Drosophila melanogaster: one gene and its partners. Changing the gene in region 3 together with the main gene of any one other region gives a genetic interaction. Each region holds a gene or a part of one and is shown on either strand. Other genes may lie near its edges.

Evidence for each region.
Region 1: of Dis3l2 (region 3) and Tailor, changing one enhances a phenotype caused by changing the other (phenotypic enhancement), as found in Drosophila melanogaster (one study listed by BioGRID).
Region 2: of Dis3l2 (region 3) and pcm, changing one suppresses a phenotype caused by changing the other (phenotypic suppression), as found in Drosophila melanogaster (one study listed by BioGRID).

Annotation. Positions count from the first base shown.
Region 1 is NT_033777.3:7,082,725-7,088,074, reverse strand, and holds Tailor (tailor), read left to right. Parts: upstream 1-1,991; 5' UTR 1,992-2,094; coding exon 2,095-2,193; exon of another isoform or gene 2,194-2,415; intron 2,416-2,511; exon of another isoform or gene 2,512-2,562; coding exon 2,563-2,661; intron 2,662-2,717; coding exon 2,718-3,150; intron 3,151-3,307; coding exon 3,308-3,541; intron 3,542-3,593; coding exon 3,594-3,700; intron 3,701-3,756; coding exon 3,757-3,892; intron 3,893-3,950; coding exon 3,951-4,127; intron 4,128-4,183; coding exon 4,184-4,385; intron 4,386-4,488; coding exon 4,489-4,693; 3' UTR 4,694-4,850; downstream 4,851-5,350. Other genes in the region: alphaTub84B (alpha-Tubulin at 84B), read right to left, coding at 1-841, 1,331-1,333; Dpck (Dephospho-CoA kinase), read right to left, coding at 4,932-5,238, 5,310-5,350. UniProt on the Drosophila melanogaster protein: Uridylyltransferase which mediates terminal uridylation of miRNAs, leading to their degradation. Has high specificity for splicing-derived miRNAs (mirtrons) and other miRNA substrates containing a 3'-G terminal nucleotide.
Region 2 is NC_004354.4:19,486,012-19,493,597, forward strand, and holds the start of pcm (pacman), read right to left. Parts: upstream 6,001-7,586; 5' UTR 5,803-6,000; coding exon 5,728-5,802; intron 5,669-5,727; coding exon 4,574-5,668; intron 4,505-4,573; coding exon 4,196-4,504; intron 3,939-4,195; coding exon 3,474-3,938; intron 3,400-3,473; coding exon 3,131-3,399; intron 3,048-3,130; coding exon 2,728-3,047; intron 2,675-2,727; coding exon 1,781-2,674; intron 1,702-1,780; coding exon 1,121-1,701; intron 1,057-1,120; coding exon 394-1,056; intron 331-393; coding exon 250-330; intron 182-249; coding exon 92-181; 3' UTR 1-91. Other genes in the region: ND-18 (NADH dehydrogenase (ubiquinone) 18 kDa subunit), read left to right, coding at 6,526-6,575, 6,666-6,986, 7,046-7,226; CG12204 (uncharacterized protein), read right to left, coding at 7,397-7,586.
Region 3 is NT_037436.4:210,891-216,997, forward strand, and holds Dis3l2 (Dis3 like 3'-5' exoribonuclease 2), read left to right. Parts: upstream 1-1,818; 5' UTR 1,819-1,859; coding exon 1,860-1,894; exon of another isoform or gene 1,895-1,953; coding exon 1,954-3,086; intron 3,087-3,141; coding exon 3,142-4,561; intron 4,562-4,614; coding exon 4,615-4,734; intron 4,735-4,792; coding exon 4,793-5,219; 3' UTR 5,220-5,589; downstream 5,590-6,107. Other genes in the region: Prp4k (Pre-mRNA processing factor 4 kinase), read right to left, coding at 1-329, 402-418; thoc7, read right to left, coding at 808-1,489, 1,555-1,669, 1,728-1,797.

The DNA of each region.
Region 1 (5,350 bases), on a different chromosome or scaffold from region 3:
AGGCCTTCTCGGCGGAGATAACGGGGGCGTAGGTCACCAGAGGGAAGTGAATACGTGGGTAGGGCACCAAGTTGGTCTGGAACTCAGTCAGATCCACGTTAAGGGCACCATCGAATCGCAGAGAGGCGGTAATCGAGGACACGATCTGGCCAATCAGACGGTTCAGGTTGGTGTACGTGGGGCGCTCAATGTCCAGATTGCGGCGGCAGATGTCGTAGATAGCCTCGTTGTCGACCATGAAGGCGCAGTCGGAATGCTCCAGGGTGGTGTGGGTGGTCAGGATGGAGTTGTAGGGCTCGACCACGGCAGTGGACACCTGGGGGGCTGGGTAGATGGCGAACTCCAGCTTGGACTTCTTGCCGTAGTCCACGGAGAGACGCTCCATCAGCAGCGAGGTGAAGCCGGAGCCGGTACCTCCACCGAACGAGTGGAAGATGAGGAAGCCCTGCAGACCGGTGCACTGATCGGCCAGCTTGCGGATCCTGTCCAGAACCAGATCGACGATCTCCTTGCCGATGGTGTAGTGGCCACGGGCGTAGTTGTTGGCCGCATCCTCCTTACCAGTGATCAGCTGCTCGGGGTGGAACAGCTGACGGTAGGTTCCGGTACGGACCTCATCGACCACAGTGGGTTCCAGATCCACAAACACGGCGCGGGGCACGTGCTTGCCAGCTCCAGTCTCGCTGAAGAAGGTGTTGAACGAGTCATCACCTCCGCCCACGGTCTTGTCAGACGGCATCTGGCCATCGGGCTGGATGCCGTGCTCCAAGCAGTAGAGCTCCCAGCAGGCGTTTCCAATCTGGACACCAGCCTGACCAACATGGATAGAGATACATTCACGCTGTGGATGAGGAGGAAGGGAAAACGGATGATTAGTTACACACCCCAAGAAAATCGATAATTGCAGAGCCGCGCCCAACTTGAGCCGGCACTGCGTGCGAGTGAGAGAGGTAGCTAAATGGTATACTGATTTTTTTGCTCTACTTTGCCGACGCCGGAATTTTACTCTCTCGCCATTTTCTCTTTAATTCTATCCAAAATCTACAGTTATGCGTCGAAGTATCATGGTAACCGAATTTAGAATTTTTAAGATTAATGAAGCGTTCCAGCAGCATAGAAATAATGAATATTTTTTTTATCTAGATTTTAAGAGCCATTCCTCATTGCGAACAAAAAAAAAAAACAGGCATGACGTCATCACTTTTGAGGAAAAAACGCAGGCCGGCCGCCATTTTGAGAAAAAGCCGCATCGCGTTTTTGCCCATTGAATTTTGCCCACACAAATTTCTTTTCAGCATTATTTCACTAGATTTTTTTTTAAAGTACTCACCATATTGAGTTTTTATTGGAAGTGTTTCACACGCGACAAGGAAAATTCACAGAATTGTGTAGAGCTACGATTTCGAGGTCTGACTCAGAGAGCGTATACGTTCGAACTGCCGGCTATGAGGCTTGACAAACGTAAAACGAATATGAAATGTGGAAAGCGGGCTGCTTTATATAGGCACCGGAGCTAGAGACGGCAAGCTGTCGACTTAAACGCCGCATAACCGATAACTGAAGTGGGAGAGGTAATGGCACTTGGTCTCTCTAAAACTTGCTGCGGTATTTTGCAGGACTAGTTGGGACTCGAACCAGGGCGTGAATCTTTGCTTGCCCAACCGGTAGACCTAACCGGTTGCTAAAGTGGGCCAACATTAATAATATTTTTGTTGAATGTTTCATAAAAGCTATTTTAATATAAATTCGCATCGTTACCGATTCAATAAGGTTTAGTAAATCATTATATTTCTGACTCCATATTGATTTCCAACAGCAAATTAATTAACTCCATAACTTCCCCTCTCCCTTTGGAGCAAAGGATGTAGTTAATATCTTAACATCTAAACTTGTTTTGTTTTTTTATTCAAATAGGAGTTATATTAAATAGAAATGTAAAAAACAAAGCAGGTTTTAAGAAAATGATGTCAGGAGATTTTGAACTCCTACTCATGGTCACTCTAATCGCAGTCTGCAATTTACGTGTTTCCAACTTAACGCCCCCAAGTTAATAGCCGTAATCATTTGAAAAGAAAGGCACGCACGCACAACGCCATGCGGATCGAACCTGGGGACTCCTTTTGGACGAAAAAGGCGATGTTTTCCAACGCAGAAAGGCAGTACTTTGAGACGGTCCGTCCGCGGAAGACCAGTGTGAGTAAAAGTTGACCGTCGATGGCGATTTCACAAGTGACGTTTAAGTGGCGGGAACTTCTACTCACAAATCCCTGAGCCCTGTGATATGATTTATTTTATGGAGCCGTGATCCGGACGAAAAATGCACACACATTTCTACAAAAATATGTACATCGCGGTGCGATTGTGTCGCTTAAAGCACACGTACACCCACTGTCACACTCACACTCACATGCATACACCGCCGGCGAACTTTGGTGTAGTTGGCCACCCTACGAAATTCAACCGCTTCGATTCGAATTTTCGAATCAACAGTTATTGGCAGTCGAACAAAGGCGGCAAACTTTCGAGTTGCAGAAAAGTTAACGCATTCGATTAACCTTTCAGCTTCCGGGCTCCACCGCGCCCAACATAGCCGCTCCGGTAACAAAGGCCACGAAGAAGAATAAGACGATGGCCGAGATGATGCCAAACAAACTGCTTTACGTGAGTACGAGTTTGTATCATTCGAATTTTTAGACTAAAGCCCGCTGATCGTGCAGATGAATCCGCTTACCATGGAGGCACACTTCTTTCTGCAGACCCTAAACTCAGTGAACCAGACGACGAATCCGCCGCAGCTAGACCCGCACCTGGCCAACCTGCTGGAGCGCATTATGGTGGGCATCGAGAGCTACTTGGACAGGAATCCCACATACGTTTTGCCGCAGGAGATGGCCGCACCGGGTGAGGGCGTGGCCTTCGTCCAGCCCCAGGAGCTGCAGACAATAAAGCGAACATTCAGCTGTAGTTCCTGCAGCAACCGCATAGTGGGCACCACCATCGCAAAAGCTGTGGCCCACCTTTCGGAGCAGCATCCAAAACCCAATCCCAACAATCAGCCAGTCCAGCCGCATCCGACGCATCAGACGAAACAGGAGAAAAAGCAGGCCCAGGTGAAGGCTCGTCAGCATATAACAGTACGGCTACCCAAGAGTAGGTCACCATTTCATTTCATTTACTTACGCAGAAGTGCAGTCTAAAAATTGTGGTCTGACTACTTGTAAATGTTAGATTGATAAAGCCTCAATACTTTGATTAATATGTTTTCTTTAGAGCCAGCGATATTTTATAAATACTTTTTACATTGCAGAGGCCAGGGCAATGATTGTGGGAGAGATTACGAATGTGTTTAAGGACAAATACCCAATAGCGGACAAGTTAAAGGTGATTCCCGAGTACGACGTTATCGAACAGGACCTGTGCAAGCTTTTGTCGCCGGGCTTTCCCAAACAACCACTGCGAGTCTACAAGTTCGGGTCCCGCATCACAGGCATTGGAAATCGATCCTCGGACCTGGACCTCTTCGTCGACATCGGTAAGTCGGGTTAGTACTGCATTGAGCTCCTACCAATTTCACCTGGCTTCTGAATTGGCAGGCAACACATTTCACACGTTCGAGCATCGAGCTTCCAACGCTACCGTCGCCAAGCTGCGGGCTATGAGGAAGTTCTTCTGCGACAGCGAGGACTGGCGTCTTATTAATGTGAGCTGTGTCCCTAAGCAATACGTTCGTTTTTACCATTGCACTTTCTTCAACAGTTCATCGAACAGGCTCGCGTGCCCATCATCAAGACGTGCCACTTACCAACCGGTATCGAGTGCGACATTTGTCTGAACAGCATGGGCTTTTGCAATACAAATCTGCTCAAATACATATTTGAGTCACAGCCACTGAGTAAGCACATGCTGCCGGATAGAGTCCATGTTATCTTTTTGCATTCGCTCCCTTGCAGCTCAATATATGTGCATATATGTAAAGAACTGGCTGGAGCGCTGCAAGCTAACTGAACAAATATCGACGTACAGCATTACACTGATGGTGATTTACTTCCTGCAGCTCCAGGCCCTGCTGCCCCCCATTGCCATGCTGCAGATAGAGGATGCAGCCAATCAGGCCGTGCTCGTGGGTCGTAAGTACATCGTCGGTTTCTTGGGGGGATTCACCAAGTAAGTCGTCTCTTTACAGCGTGGGTTGTCAACTTTGCACAAAAATCGTTTAGCGAACTGGGACTGCAGCAATTAAAGGCGACCGTCCCCGTCATCAAGGGCTTCCTTCGAAACTTCTTTGCGTATTTCGCCAAATTTGACTACGAGCATTTCTTGGTCTGCCCATATATAGGTCAGGCTAATGTTGAAATCGCGAAGATTGAGAGGATGCTGCATGCTAGGTGAGAATATTAATTGCTTAACTTTAAGCCCTTTAAATATGTAATGCTATATAGAAATTACAAAAAAAAAAAAAAAAAAAAAAAAAACTTTCCCTGCTACTAGGTATTCAGCATATGTGTCGGACAACCCTGAATGCTCGATCCAGCTGAAAAAACCGATGGTGGTACAGGATCCCATACAACTAAACCACAATGTAACGAAAGCGGTGACCAAATATGGACTGCAGACGTTCGTTGACTACTGCCAGCAGACGGCGGAGCTGCTTGAGGAACCTTCCACCAATTGGCGTCAGCGCTATGCATTTTAAAGAAATCCCCCTCGATTATCTGTCCCTGCATCCAATCTCAAGGCACTTCCGTTTATGGTCTGTTAGGCTTCTACCTTGTGAGCGCGACACCAATGTAGGTTTGTTCAGACTGTTAATTAAAGGCGATTGTCACGTTTCGGCAATATATTTCACTAACAAGCTTTTAAATTGTATAATTGGTTTGGTATCATTTGCATTAACACATAAAGTGACCTCGTATGGCACGCACAGACACGGACTACATCTGCCAGGACTCGGGCAGCCGGTTGAACACCTTCAGCAGCATATATATTGTGAAGCCCACGATTAGGAACAGCCCCAGGAAGCTGATGCGGTTCAGCCAGTGCTGCTTGGAGTCGCGCATCAGGTTGTAAATGCTCATGGCCGAGCTCTCCGCCTCCTCCACGCTCCCGTTATTGTCAATGACGAAGTGAGACTTCTCGCACTTCTTGTCCAGCGGCATTTGTGAATCGACGCGATGCCGGGCTTCCGATTCCGAGAGCTCATTGCGGGCTATTAATCGCTCCAGCTGCTTGTCCGAGTCGCTGCAATATGGGGGGATGCAGTTAAAGCCAGCTACACTTTGACACCTAGCATTCAAGAGCTATTAACCTACCAGGTTACACAGACGATCTTGTGTATAAAGTCCATCAGCAC
Region 2 (7,586 bases), on a different chromosome or scaffold from region 3:
GAGATAGAAATAAGGTGATATAAGATCCAAATAGCGTTGCATTTCTTCAGCTAGGTGGGATTTGAACCTAAAAATACCCATTTGTTCGCTCTTAAGTTGGATGCGGGGAGTCGGGCAGTATGTATTCCAAGTCGAACTTGGCTCCGATGCGAGGCACTCGATGCTTCCTTCGGTTGACCGCCTGCAACAGAAGCGAGTAAATGGAATGAGTAAATTATGCAGAATAACTATCTCTATCTCCTCCATTACCTGGGATGATGTCGTTGCTGTGGGCGCGTTCGCACTGCCTGTTGAGACCCCATCAGATTCGGACTGCGACGCAGCCGGCTGCTGTCGGCCGAGAGGAAAGCATTAGTTCGGTAATCAAGGCTTTGACTTGTAGCCAATGCTTACCTTAATTTCAAGCGTTTGCATCAGTCCAATCACCTGTTCGCCTGCTGATTGTACCGGAAGACTAGAACTGGCCTTTGTGTCTATAGTCTCGTTCGTCGGTTGCTGCAACACAGGCGAACGACTAGGATTCTTGGTGGCATCGACGTCCTGACGACCGGCTGGTTGGACGCGATTTAATTTCTTGGGACGGTACGCCTGTATGGGCACAAAATCTTGGATCGTTGAGTATCGCGGTGGCGCATTGTTGATCTCCGTCAGCTGGAGTGGCTGCTGCTGCTGCTGCTGCTGCTGCTGATTCGGGTAATATGGTTGCTGGAGGTGCATGTGCACGTTGTTGTTAAAGGTGCTCTGCGCAGCTATATTCTTTTTGGGACGCATCTGATATCCATTGTTGACGCCAGCGTGGAATGCGTTGGCGTGCTGCATGCGCGGGTGCACCCACTCATGCCACTGCCTTTTTGATGGAGCACCCAATGGCGGCTGATTCAACGCCGCTCCTGTCTGGCCGCTTCTGTAGAAATGCTGGCTATTGATACGTTCAGGCTCCATTTGCGCATGCGCCTGCTGCTGCTTCTTCTGCGCCTCCTGCTGCTGCGCCTCCTGCTGCAGCGCCTCCTGCTTCTGCGCCTCTTGCTGCCAGAAGAGCGGTGGCTTGGGTAGATTCTGCAATGAAAAGTAGTTATGTGAACACATGGTTGGGTGGCACATCTGGGCTGAAAGCAGTTACGGGCATTTGTCCGGGAAACGGAGCTCTTTGCTGTTGAAGTAGTGGCGGACGTTGCTGCTGCACCGCCTCCTGGAGTGGCGGCGAGCTCTGGTCCTCACCCACGCCCAAAACCGACATGAGCGCCAAGGTCTGATCCAGAGGAGTCAGCGTTGCGGACGAGGCTGCGGTGAATGCAGTGGAAGCAGTGCTTGCAGCTGCATCAGGAGTTTTTGTGGGCGGAGCAACAAAAATACTACCGCCCTGTTGACGTGATGAAGACCGATTTATGCGCCAATTATTTGGCGCAGGCTGCGGTTTGTTTGTTGGCGTACTGACGCGTTCCCGCCAGTTGGTAATCTGCTCCGGCACCGGCACCGGTTTTGGCTCCGACGATGGCTTGTACGAATCCGTACGGGCTATCGGATCGCTACGCGTCTTGACGAATTCGTCGCTAATTTGGGTCTTCATCGTGATCGGGACCGAGGTGGACCCTGCGGCGGTCACATAGCGACTGCTGGTCGCGCGGACTGGCTCGTCCTGTGCCTGGTTCGGCTGAGGATCCCTCACCGGCAGTTCGCAGTCGTTCTGCTTCTTTCCTTCCTCTGCAAGGAGAGGAAGTGGGAGCATTGCTATGTATGTGCCTCCTCCGATTCTGTAGGCTATGCAGCCAAATCCACTTACCATCCGTCTTGATGATCACCAGGGCAATTTCGGGCACCTTGTAAACTCGGTCTTCGGCGATGCCATGGATGTTGTTGCAGTTCGGAACGGGGCTGTCGAACAGCACCTTGCAGAACGTGTCGACAGCATGGACGCACTCCAGGCGGACCGGGTTGGGGTCCGTAACGGGATGAATGCCAATCACGGTGCCCTTAGTGCCCACGGGCACCATGTAAATGGTGCGTACGATTACGACGCGATCGAAGAGACGCACCGGGCGCTTTGATCGGTAGACATCTGGCAGTGTGACATTGGGCTTGATGAGCAAGTGCGGCTTCACCTGCAGTTTAACGTGCTTGACGGGCAGTGAGCGCAGGTCGTCGACGGCGGCTATCAGCAGTTCGATGGTCTCGCGGCAGACCGTCTTGGAGCCGCAAGAGATGCGCTCCACTTTCATGTGCGGCTGCTGGCGCACCCAGTTGGCCAGTTCCTCGACGCGGCGATGGCCAACCGCATTGGGGAACACGTCCTGTTCGAATACGAACTCGGCGCGATCGTTGGAGTCGCCAAAGAAGTCGATAACGTCTGGGTAACGCTGGCAATAGTTGCGCATCAGATCCACGGCCAGGCTGGAGTAGTACCACTGGTTGTTCGTGCGGAAGCAGTATCCGGCACGCTCCTCGTTCTGCCGCGGATACTTGAGCTGCAGGCCAATGTTGTGCTTGGTCACGTTTTCCATCTTCTGACGCCGCGGACCGAGCACCACCCACACGGTGCCACTTAGGCGTCCCAGGGTGCGGCCACTGATTCGGAGCAAGTTGCAGACCTGGAAGGTGCTCAGATAGTCCCGGTCCCGCTCTTCCTGCAGCTGACGTGCCGCATTTACTTTCGGTTCCGGTCGCACCATGATGCTGACTGCAGAGATGAAATGATGATGGGGTGTCAAGGACATGGCGAGACGAACTTACCTTGAATCCGGCCGTTGGTGTAGGCCAGCCGTGGGTCCTGCACAGTTCCCTCGCTGCCGTAATACGGATCCGTGATCAAGAAGATCGTGCTGCCAACGGGGAAGTAGTGCTCCACGTTGAGGAAATTCTTGCGCATTCTTTCCCACACAGTCAGATCGGCCACCACGCCCTGGGCTGGATAGCCGGTGACGGAGCTGCTCCACGAGTCGCGCACCATCAATGCCCCCTTGTCGCGGAACTCCGTCGAATTGCCGGCAAAGGTGCGCACATAGACGAGCACATCATAGTTGGCAAACTGTATTCCCATACGATTGATAAAGCTGTCGTGGGAGGAGAAGGAGGAAAGGGAAGATGGAGCATTAGCAGTGTGAATGCAGGGCCAGACGGCGGCTTCACACTCAACTGTTCCTGCAGTGCCTTGCATTCCGAGTCGAAACGCCGCGAATCGTTTAGCGTGATTCCCTCGCTGTCGACGCGCTGATCTCGCGTGGCCACGCGCACCACTATCGCCTTGACGAGATGCGGCCAGCCGACGTGGATCACCTTCCCGAGGTACTGGGAGGCCACCGCCGTCAGTGTGTCCTCCAGCTGGCGCTTGCGTGGTTTTAGCACAATGTTCTGGTTGCGACTGACCTGTTCGAACACCTTGACGCGGTCGTTGCGCAGCTCGAACTGGAAAAGAATAGCAAGCATATTAGACATGGCGGACATGGCGAGCGTTATGCATGTGTCCCGGCGTCACTCACATCGAAGGGCAGATGCTGCATGGTGGGAAATCCCGGGAAGAAAACGGTTCTCGCCGCATTTGGTAGCTCGATGCACACGCTGTACGGCAGATTGACTGCGATTTCGTGCGACCACTTGGCCACCTCCGTGCAGTAGAGCACGGGAAGAGCCCTCAGCGGTGGATACGCTGGCATGGGACCCTGCGCCACCGTACTGTATTTGTACACATACATGGGACCGTGTCGGTTGCGTTCGCGCTCCTCCAGCGACAGCTGAGCCTCGCATGGCAGCATAGCGGCCAGCAGCCGACCCTCATCGATGAAGGGTATCAGCACAACCGCCTCCCAATCGTGTTTCTTGCCATTGAGGTCGCTCTCGAACTCCAGTGGATAGAACTCGGCCAGCGGGCTGGTCGGCAGCAGCATGAGGTCGTGGTAGGCGACAGGGAGAAGCTTTGCACTGGCCGCCGGCAGTACCGCCAGAAGCTTTATATGAAAGATTGGACAGATGGCTTAAGTAAATCTAGTATGTGTGCAGATATATGGATACATGGATAATTTGGTTGAGAAGATTGCTTTAACCAAATGATCTAGCACCACCATTGGATTAGAGGGAGATAGATATATGTTAGAAAGGAGATACGCAAATGATAGTCTAAATTGGTGGCTCTGGTTTATGTTTAAGAAATGGTAAGCCTGATGCTAGGAAAGTTATCGGTGCTAACTAAATGTGCTCAGCTCACCTGCTGGAATGGCAGAAAGGGCGTGCCCATGTGGAAGGCGATCTCCACCTGCTCGATGTTCTTGAGGTCGCTGATGAATGGAGTGTAGTGGAAGGGATAGTACCAGTCCCAGGACTGCACGCCACGGTAGTAGTAGTCGAGCACCCACTGCAGCGCATTGACGTAGTGGTGGCACAGTTCCTCGATCAGTTCATCATTCGGATCACGCTTGAACTTGTTGCGGTAGAAGTTTCGCTTGTAGTTCTGGAACTCCTTCAGAAGAACCGCGTTCTCGTCGGAGCAGTCCTCCTCGCTGTCGTCATCGTAGAGCTGTGGATGGGAAGGCGGCATTGAGCGGACGGAAATGACGGGATGGCGGTCAGTGCAGAGAGTTCATACCAGCATGCTCTTGTTGATGAGGGCTCCGAGATCGGAGTCGAGGTTTTGAGACTCGGTGATCTCGCCGACGTCCATGTCGAACGCCTCTGATTTGTTGTTCATGTACTTCAAGTCGTCGGCGTGCTCCTTGAAGTGATCCAGCTCCACCTCGGTGAGGGCCGATATGAAAATCTGCAAGCGGCGCAGGTTGAGCTTGCCGTTCTCGTTGATGTTGCCGCCGAGGGTCGGGTAAATGCCGATGTAGGTGCGGTAGAGCAGCGGCAGTGCATTTGATGAAATGTGCAGGCACGGCAGGTGGGGAATGAAGTCGTTGCCGACCAAAAAGCCCATCAGCACCCAGTCGTCGATAAGCTGCGCAATGTCCAATTTGTGCTCGTCTGTTCTCAGGGCGTCGAACTCCAGCTCGAGGTACTCGCGCAGCAGACCCAGGTGCAGCAGGAAGAAGCGCGTCTCCTCCACCGAGGTGCGCTTGACGTTGCGCCCGAACTTGACCTCCTCGCGCAGCACCACGAAGTGCAGCTCGTGGGTGCAGAGGCCCAGAATGATCAGATCGGCGTCCAGGCCGTAAAGGCAGTGTCGTGTATTGGGATCATAGTCCGGCTGCGTCTTCATGTACCGAATGTAGTCCATGATCTTGTGCTCGCCCTCGCCGGGCGCCTCCTGGCCACTTAGGATTACGGTGCAACGCTGCCACAGCGGATCCGTCGAAATCTTCGTTTTGAGAAAGGCGCGCAGTCCCTCCTGCAGACGCACCATGAATTCGGTGCCCGGCGTAATGCAGTTGCTGTCGAAGCGCTCGTGCTCTCGCAACTCGCCTCGCTGGGCCGCCTTGGCCTCCTGCTGCTCCGCCTCGCGCGCCGTCCGGAATCGCCGGCTGCGCTGCTGGTTCATCTTGGCCCGTGGAGCCACCCCGTCAACTGAAAGGAAGAAGAGGCGCTGCGGCTTGATCAGGTAGAACAGCTTGTCTACGTAGTTGAAGATTTCCTGGAATATCTGCTCCTCCTCCAGGTGAAAGTGTATGTTGTTGTCGTCCGGATGCGAGCAGTTGTGGACAATGCCGTTCATGTCCAAGTACAGATTGTCGAACTCGGGTATCTGCAAAGGAACCGTACGGTGCATGGCAACATATAACGTGACCTAGCAGCTTTACTTACGCAGTGCTCCCGCGCCAATTCGCTGAGGCACGGATATCGCTCGCTGATGTAGCGAAAGAACTTGGGAACGCCCATGTCGCTGTTCTGGATGGGACTGTTCTGCCGCCGTGCTGTTCTGCCTGGATCAGTGGCAATTTAGATGAACTGAAAAATTTGTGTCTTTATCTGTTTTCAACATGTATTGATTGACACAAAAGTTGCAAGTAGGCGAGGCGTTGCCACAACGTTTCGCTATTGCCATGTGGTAGGGCCGGCGGCATTCCGCAGTTCGATGAATAACTGAAAGAATAAGGACCCTGACCGATTCAAATCGATATTAGAATCGATAAGCGAAACGGGCTCCTTTGCCAATAATCAGCTAATGGTGAAATTAAGCTAAAAGGAGCTAAGAACACCTACATATCTGGCAGCACTGGGCAAATGCAATGCTCATCATTTAAACAGTTGGCTTACAAATAGCATAGTTTTAGTTCTAGTTACTTCTCTAGTTCATCATCAGTGTATTTCATTTCATTCATTTTCATTTTAAAGTTCATTTTACCACTTGAACAGCATTTCATAGTTTTTGCGAAGTTCGAAGTGAAAAAGAAGAAAACTGTTTTTGAACTATTGTGGCATCGCATCCAAGGCGAGGGGCCACACTGTTTCCAATTAGAATAAAAACACTCACCGCTCGCCTGGTCACACTGGCACTGGCGAACAGCTGTTTTCCCAATCGAAAAGCGCTTGTGTTCCAAATTTTACGTAATTCGTATTTTGAAGCCGATTTCTGCCGTGTAGCCCCAAACGCCTAGCGAAATGTCGGCCCTCCGCCAAGTGATGTGCAGAAGCACCGCCTCCCTGCAGCTGTAGGTACCCCCGCCTGGCCGGAGCAAGTGCATCCGACCTGGCAAATCTGCAGCCCTCTAATTATCCACTTTCGCATCTTGACACCGCAGGTACCAGGCCAACAGGGCAGCCGCTGCCCGCTGGGCATCCACCGCCACGGACGGCGGTCCGCTGGACCCCAAGACGGCCCTGGCCCGCCCCGAAGAGCTGGAGCAGCGCAACAAGCTGAGTGGCAAGATCACCGTGCCGACTGCCGTCAATCTCAGCCCGATCAGCGGCGTTCCGGAGGAGCACATTCGGGAGCGCCGTGTGCGCATCCATATTCCGCCCAAGAACGCAATGCAGAGCGGCACCGATAACGTGAACACCTGGCAAATCGAGTTCGACAACCGCGAGCGCTGGGAGAATCCGCTCATGGGCTGGGCCTCCAGGTGAGTAGCTGGCACGTCCACCATGCCATGGCAACCTTGGTCAACGTCTCGTGTTCCAGCGGCGACCCATTGTCCAACATGAACGTGCAGTTCGGATCCCCAGAGGAGGCCATCACGTTCTGCGAACGGAACGGATGGCGCTGGTACGTCGACGGCGCCGCGAAGCCCAAGAAGGAGCGCGTCAAGAACTACGGCATCAACTTTGCCTGGAACAAGCGCACGCGCGTCTCCACCAAGTAGACGCTCCCCGCAGCTAGCCAGGATTATAGACCACAATTATCTGATTTTTTTTTTGCTTTGTTCATTATCTGAGTACCCAAATAAACAGTCGGCTGGACTCAAATGACCACAGCACCATGTAATGGCCACCAGTTTCGCTGCCAATGGAAGCGGCACCATCACATGCCGCTCTAATGACGAGCGGTTTGGGAGCGATGCCTATTGTGCTGCTTCTCGCGTGGCTCTCGCTCCTCCCGACGCCTATCGCCATGTCGATGCCTGCTCGGACTGCGGCTTCTCTTCCGGCTGTCATCATGATGCTGGTACCAATCTCTGCGCTCGTTGCGCCAGTCCCGATGCTCTTGTCGCTGTCCTCGGTCC
Region 3 (6,107 bases):
CAACAAGGCTGCTCGGATCCGTCGGAAGCAGGGGTTTGCCGACACGGAAATCGGCTCCATTCCGGCTGGCCTTCTGCATGATTTCTGTGAACTTGCTGCTCAGCCCGCAATTTTGTGATAGCTTTAACTTTGCGTTTTCCGGGGCGTCCGATTCGTTTGTGGATTCGCTTGTTCGGTGGGGGCGCTTTTTTGCCTTCTTCTGCTTCTTGTGGACATGCCTGTCCTTCTCGGTCTTGCCAGTCGAGGATTTTTTATGTTTTTTGTGCTTTTTAGCCTTTTTGTGCTTGGCCCGACGCTCTTCGGTCTCGCTGTTGTTGCTGGAGTCGTAGCTATTCGGTACAAGAGGGGAGCAGCCCAGGTCAATACACACACGTGCGGTCGGCTTAGTAAAATTAACCTACCTTTTGTCGTCAGCCATTATTTGATTGTTTAACAATGTAAACTGCAGATGCGCGCACACTGTGCGTTCATAAGGTGTGCGGTAATTCTGCAGATGGCTAATGAAACTTGTAATTTTCCTCTTATTGTATTCTTCCTCTTCGTAGCTTTTTTAGTGTGACTGCACGCCGGACAAAAGTAAATACGTTTTAAAAATACCTCCTGGGATTTCGGAATTATTTCTAGTATATATGCAAGTAAAATAAAAATATATTAAAATTAAATTTTATAACCCTTAAATATCGTCTTTGGCGCAAGTCTAAATTGGAAATAAAAACGAAGGAATTTCGAAACAACAGTTGAATTTGTATATTATAGTTCATGACATTTTATTTTTTTGTTTTTATTGTACATGCTAGCGCTTCTAACCTAATTGGCAACAGCTACATCCACGTCGTGCTCATCTTTGTCGATGCTTAGCTCAAGCACCGTGTCCTCTTCTACGGACATGGCTTTAGAGTCCTCAGTAGAGACTGAGTGATATTTGGGCTCGCCGCGGGCTCCGTCGAACTTTGTGGGAGTGCTATTGTTGAGATCGTCGTCTTCATCGCTTACCTCCATGATCCCATTGTCGTCTAGGTCCGGCTCAGAGCGGGCATCGCAATCGCTGGACGAGGAGGATGCCGAGGATGAGCTGTCCTGGTCCAGCTGCTGTTCCAGCTCGTGAATCGTGTACATCAGCAAAGTGAAGTCATTGCGTCGTTTCTGAAACTTGCGCTCCATCTTTAGCTTCTTTTGCACCAAGTCGTCAATCTCCCTCCTAATGGTCTCAATATGTCGCTGTGTTTCACTGCGGTCCGGTTGGTCCTGGATGAGCGAGGCCAGCAGGTCGTACTCCATCTTGTTCTTGCGAATCTGCTTGGCAGTGATTAGCTCTTTTTTACTGGATTCGATTTCCGCTTTAGCCAAAACAATACTTTCTTCGTGGTGTTCAACTAGTTGTGTGTAGTTGTCACGCTCACCGGCGATCATCTGCAGAGTTTGTACATTCTTTAACGCAGTGAGCTTGCACTGGGCGAATTGGGCCATCAGTCGGTCGTACATGATGGGACTGTAATTCGGAAAAGAGGAGATATGTACACCATGTTTTGAATACACACATATCCAATTTCTTACTTGCTGTCCAGCGAGTCACTGGCCCACTTCAAGAACTGTTTCAGCAACACTACTATTCTCCGATCCTCTCCAGTTCCATCCCCGTCAATCAGCAGGCGCTGCTTTATGATTTCTTCTGGAAGATCAGTTTAAATATCTATTCCCAAATGCGAAAATAAACAAAAACAACTTACCGTCATTCATCTCCACTAATTTCCGAACTAGCGTATCGGAGTGTGGCCGAAGCTGACACTGCTCCGACATACCACGCAGTACGGTCCTACTGTACTTGTCCTATCATTTTAATTTGGAGAAAGTATTGAATTATGCCTTACCCTTTATATCCCGCCCATAGCCAAGTGTAGTGCCGTACACTTTCGGACATCAGCGAATCCCATTAACTAAGTGCACTTCTTGCAGAATGTCGGAAACGTCAAGCGTCAACGTGGATGCGGACCGAGATTGCAGAAGGATTGAGGGCCTCCGACAGCGCTCACAACGCCTTGCTGCCCGCCTCCAGCAGATGCAGAGGGAAATGGAGTCTAATGCATCCAGCAAAGACCTATCGGCCAACAATGCCGTTATTCCGCTGCAGCCACTAATGCGCTGGGCGGAACCACGGCCACATCCCAACCAATCCCAACCATCTGCTCGGAGCAACAGCAGGCAGGCCATTCCTTACGGTGTGCCAGTATCCACGCCAGCGCCGGTAGCTATGCAATTGCCCTACCACGTAGCATTCGCCTCCTACCAGGCGACCATGCAGATTCCCTGCCTTCAGCCACTTTCGCATTTGCACGTCGTGTCTAGTCCCAGCCATCGGTTAATAGCGAAAAAGAAGTCGAAGCGGGCTCTTCGAAATGAGGTGGAAGCTCTTCAGGATATGGTCAAACATCTTTCACACCTCTCCCCAGATGTTAACGCGTATGCCTGCCAGCTGATACGTAAAAACGAGATCCTTTCTCAGCTCGAGTGGAGTCAGACCAGGTCAGAAGCACATCCGCAACAGGTTGGTTACCAGGGGCGGCATCGCCACGATTCTGAGGTCTCTGCTACAAACAATGGAAGTCATGTACAGCAGCAACCGAAACTAGGACGAAGGCAACGCAATAGCAAGAAAAACGATGGATCCGGTAGCAATGGGACCCAATCGCAAAAAACCGAACTAGAGGCCATGCGGTCGTACATAAACAAGATTGTCCAACGTCACGTGGGTATGGATCACCAGTTGTCGGAAGACTTGATTTTCAAAGGTAACTTCTCCGACCTGGAAGCGCATGCGCAGAGACTAGTTGCGGCGGGTTATGGGCGCATTGTAGAAGAGGAAATCCGGGTTAACCGCAAGAACAACAGACAGGCCTTTATAATCATGTCCACTGATCGAGAAGCACTCGAACGAGATGGCATCGTGCTCTTGCCAGTGGCTAGGCGCTATGCCTTCGATGGTGACAAAGTACGTGCATTCGTGCTAAACCCTGGTGCTCAGGGTAGTTCAAAGACAGCTGAGCCCTCGTCTGGTGAAATCTCTGGTGGGAAGCCCTCATTATCTCTTGGTAAGTTTATCGGCAAACTTATAATACTTTCGACTGATGATAATATCCTATAAAGCGGATGGTGAGGAGCTTTCGGACGATACCGAGTCCCAGGGCTCTGAGTCCGATACCGACAACGTGGTCGTGATATCGTCGGACAACTGCCCTAAAGCGTTCGTCATAGCAATAACTAAACGAACTGAGCTCCGCCAGATCGTGGGAACCATATCGTTTACGAACCCAACCAAACTCTGTGACGACCAGCTATTCTACAAATTCCGACCGTACGATTTGCGTGTCCCCATGGTCTACGTTCCGAAGGATGCCTGTGCCGCCCACATCGGAAACAAGCAGCAAATAGACGTGTCCGGCCTCTTATACCTTGCCCATATACTCGAGACAGATTGCAATGGGCACTGCATCGCTGAACTAATCCAGCCGGTTGGCCGCGTGGGTAATTTGGATGACGAACTTAAGGCAATTCTGTTTCATAACGGTCTCCGGGATATAAAGCCATTTGAGCAACGATTTATCGACATTTACTCCCAGCCGCCACCTCCGATAAGCCAAGAGGATCTGCGTCAACGAAAAGACTTAAGAAAGATGTGCATATTTACTATAGATCCGATGACTGCTCGCGATTTGGATGACGCCGTTTCTATAGAGAAGCTAGGCGACAACGAATATGAGATTGGCGTCCATATATCCGATGTTTCGCACTTCCTGATAGAGGACAATGAACTGGATAACATAGTGAAGGAACGCTCTACGTCTATTTATTTAGCCAACGAGGTAATCCACATGCTGCCTCAGTCTCTATGCATGCGATGTTCCCTGCTCCCTGGGCAAGACAAGTTTGCTTTTTCCGTCTTCTGGCGGATGAACGGGAAGGGAGTCATGCTGCAAAAGAAGCCAGAATTTTGCCGCACAGTCATTAACTCTTGCTCGCAATTTGCTTATGAACACGCTCAAAAGATCATCGACAACCCTAATGAACGGTTTACCGAGAACGACTTTCCGACCATCCTGAATGGATTTAATCCCGATGATATCAGAAATAGGGTGCTATGGCTGCACGACATTGCAAGCTCCATCCGTAAGACACGTTTAGACAATGGCGCACTCACAATTAACAATGCCAAGCTACGCTTCCTGCTCGATCCAATTACTGGCGAGCCGTTGTCTTTTGAAGTGGAGAAACAGCGAGAGGCTAACCGGCTGATTGAAGAGTTTATGCTCCTGGCCAACCAGGCAGTCGCCCGCTTTATACACGACTCCTTTCCGGATATCGCTGTACTGCGTAACCACCCTCCGCCACTTATTAAGTCCCTTAAGGCTTTAAGGGAAAAGCTGCTTGCTCTGGGATTCGAATTGGACTATAGCTCGTCTAAGGCGCTCCAGGAGAGCATGGTGCGGTTGTGCAATGAGGCGCCCAATCCTGTCGCAATGAATGCCTGCCTAAGTCAGCTTTTGATGAAACCAATGGCCCGTGCAACGTGAGTGTCTCAGTTTTCAAATAATTACTCTTCCCACAATTTCCCCCCTTTAGATATTTTTGTAGCGAGGGTAAATCGGAACCGGCTGACCTGTGGCACTACGCCTTGTCCATACCCATATACACTCACTTTACTAGCCCAATCCGTCGGTATCCTGATATTTTGGTGCACCGGTAACTGTCACTTACCTTGGAAGTTCGCCTCCCGTACTTAAAATTTCCTCCACTCTAGACTTTTGGCGGCCGCACTTAAATATTGTACACCGCCTAAACGTACCCCAGATGATTTGCACACCTTAACGAAATTAGCGAATGAGCGCAAGTACAATGCGAAAAAGGCCGGAGAGGACTCTGGTAACTTGTACTTCAAACGATATGTTCACAACAAGCAGGGCATATACATGCGAGCTGTGGTCATTGAAATATTTCAGCATATGATGAACGTAGTTACTCTGGAGTCGGGCCACGTTATAAGCATTAACTACAAAATGCAAAAGGTCCTCGTAGACACACACGGCGTACCCAATTACATTCTTATTGCCGAGCGCAACTTAAAGCAGTCACCTAGGAAGTTGCAGCTGCTTTCCGTGGTCCCCATATGTCTGATCATTTGGGACCAAAAACTAACTGGATTTTTAAAGATGGAAGAACAAATTTAGGAAAAAAAGGAGCAGACGAGCAGATGTAATTCTTCGCATAGGAACAACCCAAAGCAACTGCACCGTATTTTTTCAATAAGCCAAAAAAGTTTATAACTACACACAGAGGGAACATCAATTTTGTTTAAGAGATTCCTTCTGTTTCAGTGTCGTTAAATGAAAAATCAAAAAAATCGAAAAATACTTGTTAGTCCAAACTCACTTTTTTGAACCACATTGTGGGTCCGAGCTTTATGCTTGACAAAAATTGACTCTGTGATGCTTCCTTTTTCGGTTTGCATATCATAATAAGCTTGTAAAAATGTATGTACATATGTGCTATGTAAAATCAAGGCTTAACTGCTTATCAATAAAACAATCAAGTTAACCGAAAATGATTTGGATCATGCTGACAAATGTTAATCGAAAATAAAGGTCAATTGGGGTCATTGGCGATAATGTTAACGGCGAAAGTTTAAAGCATGAGGTTTTTTAAATTAAATTTGCATTGACGCAGAAGTATCGTCTGAAATGTCTAGATTCGGAATATTTGTTAGGCTGTCCAGGTCGTATAATCACCGATTGCAGCTGACGATTTTTTTAAGGCATTTTCCTGCTGTTAGTTGGACTTATTCAAAGCCACCCTCATCCGATAATATAAGAAAACTACAGTCTAGGCTCCAATGCACGCAATCCTGCCTAACCACCCCTGAGTACAATCCCGTCTGGAGTAGTGATATGGTGAGCTACGACAATAAAAGCAAATTGAACTGCGCAATCAAGTGCGGGTTAAGTAAGTACACACACAATATCTGCACAAGTCTCCAGATCGGATCGTTCTAAAACTACATCCACTTGTATCGTTGTAAAACTACATCCATGTCTAATCTAAACCGGCCCGGACGAGTA